2 linked regions of the Cricetulus griseus genome follow. The protein of the gene in region 1 binds, or shares a complex with, the protein of each later gene. Links are inferred from orthologs where the notes say so. Each region holds a gene or a part of one and is shown in the gene's direction. Other genes may lie near its edges.

Region 1 (3,215 bases):
TCTCATTCTCAGGGATTCTGTCTTTCATCGAGGTGAGTGTGAGAGTGGTAACCAGACAGGAGCACACCCCTGCTTTTAAAAGTGATGTGTCCACTTTGCTCACTGTTTATTTCTTACCTAAGCATTCACTCATAATAGGTGCTAGATAGATTATGTAGCAGGTACTGTATACCTTCTGTGTACCGGGCACTACATATTATAGGGAAAACAGTTCCTCCCTACATGGGAAAAAGGCTTGAAAATAAAAATTAACAAAAGAAGATGATGTGGGGTGCAGCACTCCTATAATGTCAGTTGTAATGAAGTCAGCTATCCTTTCAAGTGCAGGAATTTTTGTTTTCATGAAAGCCTCATGTCGGTATTCATCCTTTGGGTTGTCTCCCCCCCTTTAATTGCAGGATGTAGCGCAGAAAATGCTGGCCACAGGGGAATGTACTCCTGAAGACCTGTGTTTCTCCTTACAGGTAAAAGAGTGAAAAGCTGGGATGCAAAACTTAGTCTAGAGTAGAGCTGAACTAAGGTGGGATGCTGCTCTGATGTCTCCCCCTTGTCTGTCTTCCACAGGAAACTGTGTTTGCAATGCTAGTGGAGATCACAGAGCGAGCCATGGCACACTGTGGCTCCAAGGAAGCCCTCATCGTAGGAGGAGTTGGATGTATGTGTCACTGGGCAGTGTGCCTTCCTCCTAGTCCTGAGAGTCATTTTCCTGAAACGCTACATTACCAGAGTTTGGAGGGTTACCTGTTTCATCTCTTTAACTGTTTCACAACCCTCTTCCCTAGTCTTCTGGTAAACTGTCCTGGGAGCACAACTGGTTTGATAGCAAAATGGCCAAATCTAAGTTATCTGTGGTTCCTGTGTCTTCATAGGTAACGTGAGACTGCAGGAGATGATGGCAGCAATGTGCCAGGAGCGGGGAGCCCAGCTCTTTGCCACAGATGAGAGGTGAAGTCCTTCTCTTTGTCTTGAGTTCTTCTGTTCCCATCATTACGGTTTTTCTATGTTTAGGCCACAAGTCTTGTTACTGCTTCTTCCCCAGATTCTGCATTGACAATGGAGCCATGATAGCCCAAGCAGGTTGGGAGATGTTTCAAGCTGGACATAGGACCCCTCTCAGAGAGTCTGGAATTACACAGAGGTGAGTGACATCCTCCTTTGAGAAAGTAGATAGTAGGTACAGGAGACAGGTAGAAATTAACAGGTAGAAAAGTCAAAGAACAGATAAAGCTGTAGGTGATGGGTTTGGTGGCATGTACCTGTAATCCCAATATGTGGGGGCCAGGGCAGGAGGATTTTTATTTTGAGATAAGCCTGGGCTACAGATGCTGTCTCAAAAACAAAACAACAAAAAATGGCGCAAACAGGTAGTCACAGGGTTTTTCCTGCTTTCCACAGGTACAGGACAGATGAAGTAGAAGTGACGTGGAGGGACTAACAACACTAACAGGACCAGAATAGCTTGCCAAGTGGAGTGCTGATGTGGGAGTGAATCTTGGTGATACTATGGACTCTTCTCCTCTCTGGCTAGTGTATGGACCCCACACAAGGCTTAGGGTTCCTGTGGAACCCCAAGATGACTCTGAAATAAAGAGATTGTTTTTGTACGTTGACAACTGGATTGTGTTTTTTAGGACCAATAACAGAGTGAGTGCTGGGTAAATTCTTACTGGTGAGGTCAGTGGACAAGCTGGTGAGGGTCAGAGTAGCACTTGGTTGATGGTGCAGATAGTTTTGACGATTGCCACTTGGAGAAAGTCGTGGGTGCTGTCCTTCTATCCCTTTAACAATAGTCTCCTAACTAATAGTGTTTTAGTGTCATGTCCTGTGCCGAGGCCTCTACACTTAACAAACTGTGTTCACATTCATTGAAGGGGTATTCAGGATATCCCTTAAAAAGACCTGGAAATAGATCCAATTCATAACTTTACTAAAACTCCTGTCCTTCCTAAACTTCATTTAATGTACTCCTTCAAACACTTCACTGGCCAGTATCTGGGAGGCACCCGAGATGTACAACACCTCAGCACCAATACAAGCATCAGAACTGTAGATATCATGCCATATATAGTGCCACAAGAGGTCCTGAACTACCAAGCTCCTCTTTAGCCTCTGGCAGCCAGGTGCTTTGCCATCTTTTTTTTTTTTTTTTTTTTTTTGTCCCACTTCCAAACTCCTGAAACTTATCAGCCATTTGTAAAATCCATATATCCTCACCCTCTTTTTCAAATGTTGTCTTCACAGCGTTGCGCTGAGACCTAGTTTTTCGGAAAGACTGCTTCTCTTAACGCCTGGTGGTGAGTCTTTCACATCCATGTACCGCTGGGCATGGAGGTGGTGCAGCATCTCTTCTTTCTTTCCCTCCTCTGTCTCTTTGAGACAGGGCCTCTCTATGTAGCCCTGCCTGGTTTGGAGTTTGATGTGTAGACTAGACTGGCCCCAATCTCACGGAGATCCACCTGCCCCTGCCTTCTGAGTGCTGGGAGAAAGGTGTGCACCGCCACGCCCCACCTCTTGCAACGCACTGTTCCATAACTCAGTCTCATCCCGTTCTTCTGCCACAATCTGGCTCTTCAGGTTATTATGTGGAATCCATCCCTTTTCCAGGACCTGAAACCCTTTGATCTTACTTCCTTTCTACATTGTTTGCTATCCTCAGTTAAATTCCAATAATAAACACCTTGCTGCAGATGCTTTGTCTGCCTTTGCCATTTTTATTTTAAAAACAAAACAAACAAACAACAACAACAAAAAAAAAAAAACAGGATCTCATCAAGCTCAGGCTGGCCTTGAACAAACTAGCATAGGATGACCTCATCTATGTCTGCCTCCCAAGCGTTGGGTTACAGGTGTACCTTACCACACCCAATTTATACAGTATTAGGGACTGAACCTCTGGATGGAGCTGCATCCCTAGCCGCCATTCTACTTCTACACACATCACCTGCTTTATACCTACGTCTGTGCAGCCAAAAGTGCAAGTGAGAGAGCCGTGCTGGCTGCTGCAGCCCCCTGATAACAATGCAACTGAAGGCAGTCAGTCCTTCCTGCATCTCCCTCATTATCTTCTTAACCCTCCCACTCGCTGTCCTTGATAACTTCCGGATCTCCTGATCCTCAGATCCCCAACATATCTCTCCCTGTACACGTCACCTTTGTCTCTTAGTTGCCTCTCAACTATTTTTTATATATTGTATATATTTCAACATTTTGAACTA
Region 2 (4,325 bases), on another chromosome or scaffold:
GGCAAGTATGATTTACATAAGACCCTATCTCCAACAACAAAAATGCTTAGTTAATACATTTTATAAAGATAATGGTGTTAAGAAACAGCTCACACAGAGGCTTGGAGCCTTTCTTTCCTCCTTCCAAGGAAGTGGGGTGTGTCTTAGTGGTGATCCTTTGATTTAAATGCCAGTGACCATCTGCGACTATTTCTGGGATACAAGATTTAATTCCACAACCCAACAATTTTGCAGTGCAAACCCAAGTTGGTTAACGAAGACAAATAGCATTATGACTTTAGTCCACACCACACAGTAACTCCAAGTTCTTTCCCTCCTTCCCCAGTCTTCCACTCCACCCACGGGCATAGCTAGCTTGCTTCCTTCCACCAATTCTCATCCTGTTGGTGCCTTCCTACCCACCCTTCTCCACTTTTGTACTTAGATGTACGGGATGCGTCACTAAACCCTACATCACCGGCCCTCAAACAACTCTTGTTTACAAGGTCGCACAGGCGCCAAGCAGATCCTTTCCTCCTCTCTCGGCTTTCCAGGGTCACATGATGTTTTGGTTCCGATCTACTCCGGAGGGAGAAGGGGTGTCTGTCACACAACACATACACTCGGAACTTTACCGGGAAGGAAAAAAGAAAGAAAGAAACCAGCTAGCAGTTAAACTAGACTGCACGGGCACATTTTTCAAATCCAGCCCACTTCCCTTTAGCTCTGCTCACCCTCCCCCCCCCACCTGGTGCCCAATTAAGCTTCTTTAAGAGTGGAAGGAGTGGGGCGAAGAATATCGGGGTGGTTTGAGAAGTCACGAGGACGAGCTCGTGGAAAGCAGGCCACCAAGAGGCGACAACGAGGAGGGCAGAGCTGCTCCTGCTGCTGCTGCTGCTGCTGCTCGGGGACCGGAGCCTGCAGAGAGCCTCGGGCAGGGCGGAGGGAGAGCCCTGCTGGCGACAAGCTGAGGATCAAAGGGCCGCAGGGCCGGCCGGGGCTGTGGAAGCCCGGGGTGAAGGGCAGCCCTGGAGCCGGGGCGGCCGCCGCCGCCGCCGCCGCCGCCGCGGGCGGGAAGCAGCAGAACGGCGGGTGCAGCGGGCCGCGCGCACCTGCGAGTAGGAGCACTTCTCCGAGTCGCTGGCGCCCAGGACGGCGCACGCCTCGTTCTCCAGCTCCTCGTCCTCCTCAAGCACGTCCACCAGCGACACCACGGGCTCCAGCTCCGCCGGGCAGCCGGCGGGGCTCTCCGCTCCGGCCATCCTCAACTGTCACAGCGCTCCGCGGCGCGGCCCAGGCGGAGGCGGGAAAAGGGACCGCCTGCGGGGGGGGCGTCGCGAGGAGGCGGGGCCTGATCGTCAGGCAGCCAATGGTAAAGGTGGAGATGGAAGAAAATGGGCGGGGCGGGTGCCGGGAGTCGGAAGTCATGCCTTTTACCCGTCTCTCCCGCCCGCGCCGGCCCGCGGGGTGGCTTCCGCTTCCGGGTGGCGGTTCTCTGTGGCGCGCCGTTGAAGCGAAGGGGTCGCCATGGAGCTGACGGGCGAGTACGTCGGGTGTGACGGCGAGCCCCGGCGGCTGCAAGTGTCCTGTGAGGCGTCGGGCGACGCGGACCCTCTCCAGAGCCTGTCGGCGGGTGTGGCCCGGATGAGGGAGCTGGTAGCCGAGTTCTTCGGGCCCCTCGTGGAGCAGCGGGACGCGCAGGGCGTGACGGCAGATCCGGAGGACGCCGAGGAGGGTGAGCGCGGGGCGCCGGGGTCTCCGGCTGTGTGAGGGAAGGGCTGGCAGCCTTGGCACAGCGAGTCTGGCCGGCCGGCCGGCGCGGGCGAGCAGGAAGGCTCGCATCTGAAAACGGTTGGCCCTCTCTGCCCCGCGTTTTCCACGACTCTTCCTTCACCTCAGCCAGAAGAGCGTGGCGAGCGTTTGCCTGGGGGCTGGACAGGGAGCCGGGTCAGCCCGACGCCTCCCGTCTTGCGGGGCGCGGAGGACTGAGACCCGCAGAGTGGAGCCTGGGGGCGTGGGGGGTGGGCTGGGCTGGGGGTCTGCAGTCGCTGCTAGCTGGAAGGAAGACCTAAGGGGCGGCCCGTGGCGCCAGTGGGGGGGAGTCTTCCCCAGGTGTGAAATTAGAAACCTGTTTGGCACAGCGGGCACAGCTTCGGAAGGTCGAGACCGACTGTGTCGTGGGGAGTCTTAACCCTCAGAGGGTCCTTTCTCGAGTCTGTTTTTGAAAGTATAAGGGGGTTTCGGTTTTGCTGTGTGGGTGTGGGTGTGTGTTTTAAAGTCACCGATAGTCTCATGCGTGCATGTAATGCGCTGTGGTCATTTTCTCCTTCTCTTTCGTCCCCTGCTTGAACCATTCCCGATGACACACACACACACACACACACACACACTCACACATACACACACACACACACACACACACACACACACACACACACACACACGCCGCTTTCTTTTCTGCCTTCCTTTTTGTTGTCTCTCACTGAGTTTAAGGTTCTTTGTATGAGAAGGGGTGGATGGTTATTTACTGGAGCAAGGGCAACTCAGCGGTGACTACACCACAGAAGAAAACGTCAGCTCCTCCCCCAGCACCCATTAACTGTCAAAAACTCCTCCGGGCGGGATGGGACCCAATGAGCCCCTGTTGAGGTTGCCGTCTCGTTCAGGTAACCACAGTTGTTGCCCCTGTGTCCGAGCCATGTCATGGTCAAAAGAAAGTTTCACCACAGCCATTCCCTTCCTCTAGCCCCTACTATCATTCACCCCCTCTACTGTTGTAGAAATAAACTGTTAGTTTTTTGGGTTTTGGTTTTTTTTTTAACAAGGTGGATGTTTTGCCTGCCGCTTACTTGTGTCTGTGCACCACTGCTCTATGCAGTGTGCTCCGAGGCCAGAAGAGGGCATCAGAACCCCTGCAGGCAGTGGTCTTAACCACTGATCTCTCCAGCCCCAACTCTGTTAATAGAAGAAAAAAAAAAATTGTAGACAGTGTCACAGGGTACCACTGGTTGGCCTTGGATTAGACCAGGTTGACTTTGAATTCGCAGAGATCTGCCTGCCTCTGCCTCATCAGTGCTGGAATTAAAGACATGCACCACCAAACCTGACCTTTGTTAAATTTTATTTTTAATCTTGAACACAAAAGAGATTTCATTACTCTGAGCTAAGGAGTCAGTTCTTCTACAGAGGAGATTAAACTGTACTGTTCTTTATAATAGGGTTATTGACTGTCATTAAGAAGAACAGTAAGTAAAATCTGGGGATGGTTGTGGTGCACACCTTTAATCCCAGCATTCGGGAGGCAGAGGCAGGCTGTGAGTTAAAGGCTAGCCTGCTCTACTGAACGAGTTCTAGGACAGCTAGGGTTACATAGAGAAATCCTGTCTTGAAATAATAATAATATTATTATTTAATAATAATAATTTAAAATAATAATAATAAAGTATTAGCTAGGTGCATTGGTCAGGGTTCTCTAAAGAAGCAAAACCTATTGATAGAATATCTTTGTTAGAGTGCCCTTACAGCCTGTGGTCTGAATAGTCCAACAGTGGCTTTCTCCTTACAGAAACACCAAGGATCCAGTAATTGTTCAGTCTCTGAGACTGGATGCCTCAGCATTCCTAATCTGGTGCTGGAGTCCCAGCAAAGTAGGTTATAACACCAGCAAAGAGGTGTCTCAGGAATAGATAGATGAACTTGCTAGTCAGAGTAAGGGCAAGCAGGCAAAAACTATAGTACCCCAGTTACACCACTAGTTCTCCAAAGTTAATTGGAAATATGTTTATACCAAAACTCAATAATTGTAGTAGCACTGTTCATTAATAGCTGTGAAATCAAAATAATACAACTGCCCATCACCAGAGTAAAACATGAGCATTCTTTTAATTGTTGAATAGTATTCATTGTGTAGAATAAAGTATTTGGCTGGGGAGATTGCTCAGTGGGTAGAGCTGCACAAGCATGGGATTGTGAGTTTGGCTTCAAGAACCCATGTACTGCCATGTGCCCATAATCCTAGTGCTCCCTGCTCCCTGCTCCCTGCAGTGAGTTAGGGAATAGAGCCAGGAAGCATAGTGTATGCAAAGATACATTACCCCCCCCCTTTTTTTGTTTGTTTGTTTGTTTTTTAGGGGGGATCAAGACAGGGTTTCCCTGAGTAGCATTGGCTGTCCTAGAACTCACTCTGTAGACCAGGCTGGCCTTGAATCAGAGAGCCAGCTGTCTCTGCCTCCCAAGTACTGGGACTGCAGGTGTGCACCGCCACCACCCAGCTGAGATGCTTTCTTAAAGTGGAAGGTAAAGACCTACAATGAGTTTGTGACCTCTGTGTGTGCTATGGTTTGTGC

The links.
Region 2: Osgep (region 1) and EKC/KEOPS complex subunit GON7-like share a complex: the UniProt entries of both Homo sapiens proteins name them as parts of the EKC/KEOPS complex. The link is inferred for Cricetulus griseus from reciprocal best matches to the Homo sapiens genes OSGEP and GON7.

What each region holds. Positions count from the first base shown.
Region 1 is NW_023276807.1:206,592,182-206,595,396, reverse strand, and holds the end of Osgep (probable tRNA N6-adenosine threonylcarbamoyltransferase), read left to right. Parts: coding exon 1-32; intron 33-398; coding exon 399-464; intron 465-564; coding exon 565-655; intron 656-869; coding exon 870-945; intron 946-1,039; coding exon 1,040-1,138; intron 1,139-1,395; coding exon of another isoform or gene 1,396-1,435; exon of another isoform or gene 1,436-1,613; intron 1,614-2,241; coding exon 2,242-2,395; 3' UTR 2,396-2,688; downstream 2,689-3,215. UniProt on the Homo sapiens protein: Component of the EKC/KEOPS complex that is required for the formation of a threonylcarbamoyl group on adenosine at position 37 (t(6)A37) in tRNAs that read codons beginning with adenine.
Region 2 is NC_048598.1:103,312,503-103,316,827, forward strand, and holds the start of EKC/KEOPS complex subunit GON7-like, read left to right. Parts: upstream 1-1,444; 5' UTR 1,445-1,506; coding exon 1,507-1,714; intron 1,715-4,325. Other genes in the region: putative E3 ubiquitin-protein ligase UBR7, read right to left, coding at 1,092-1,241. UniProt on the Homo sapiens protein: Component of the EKC/KEOPS complex that is required for the formation of a threonylcarbamoyl group on adenosine at position 37 (t(6)A37) in tRNAs that read codons beginning with adenine.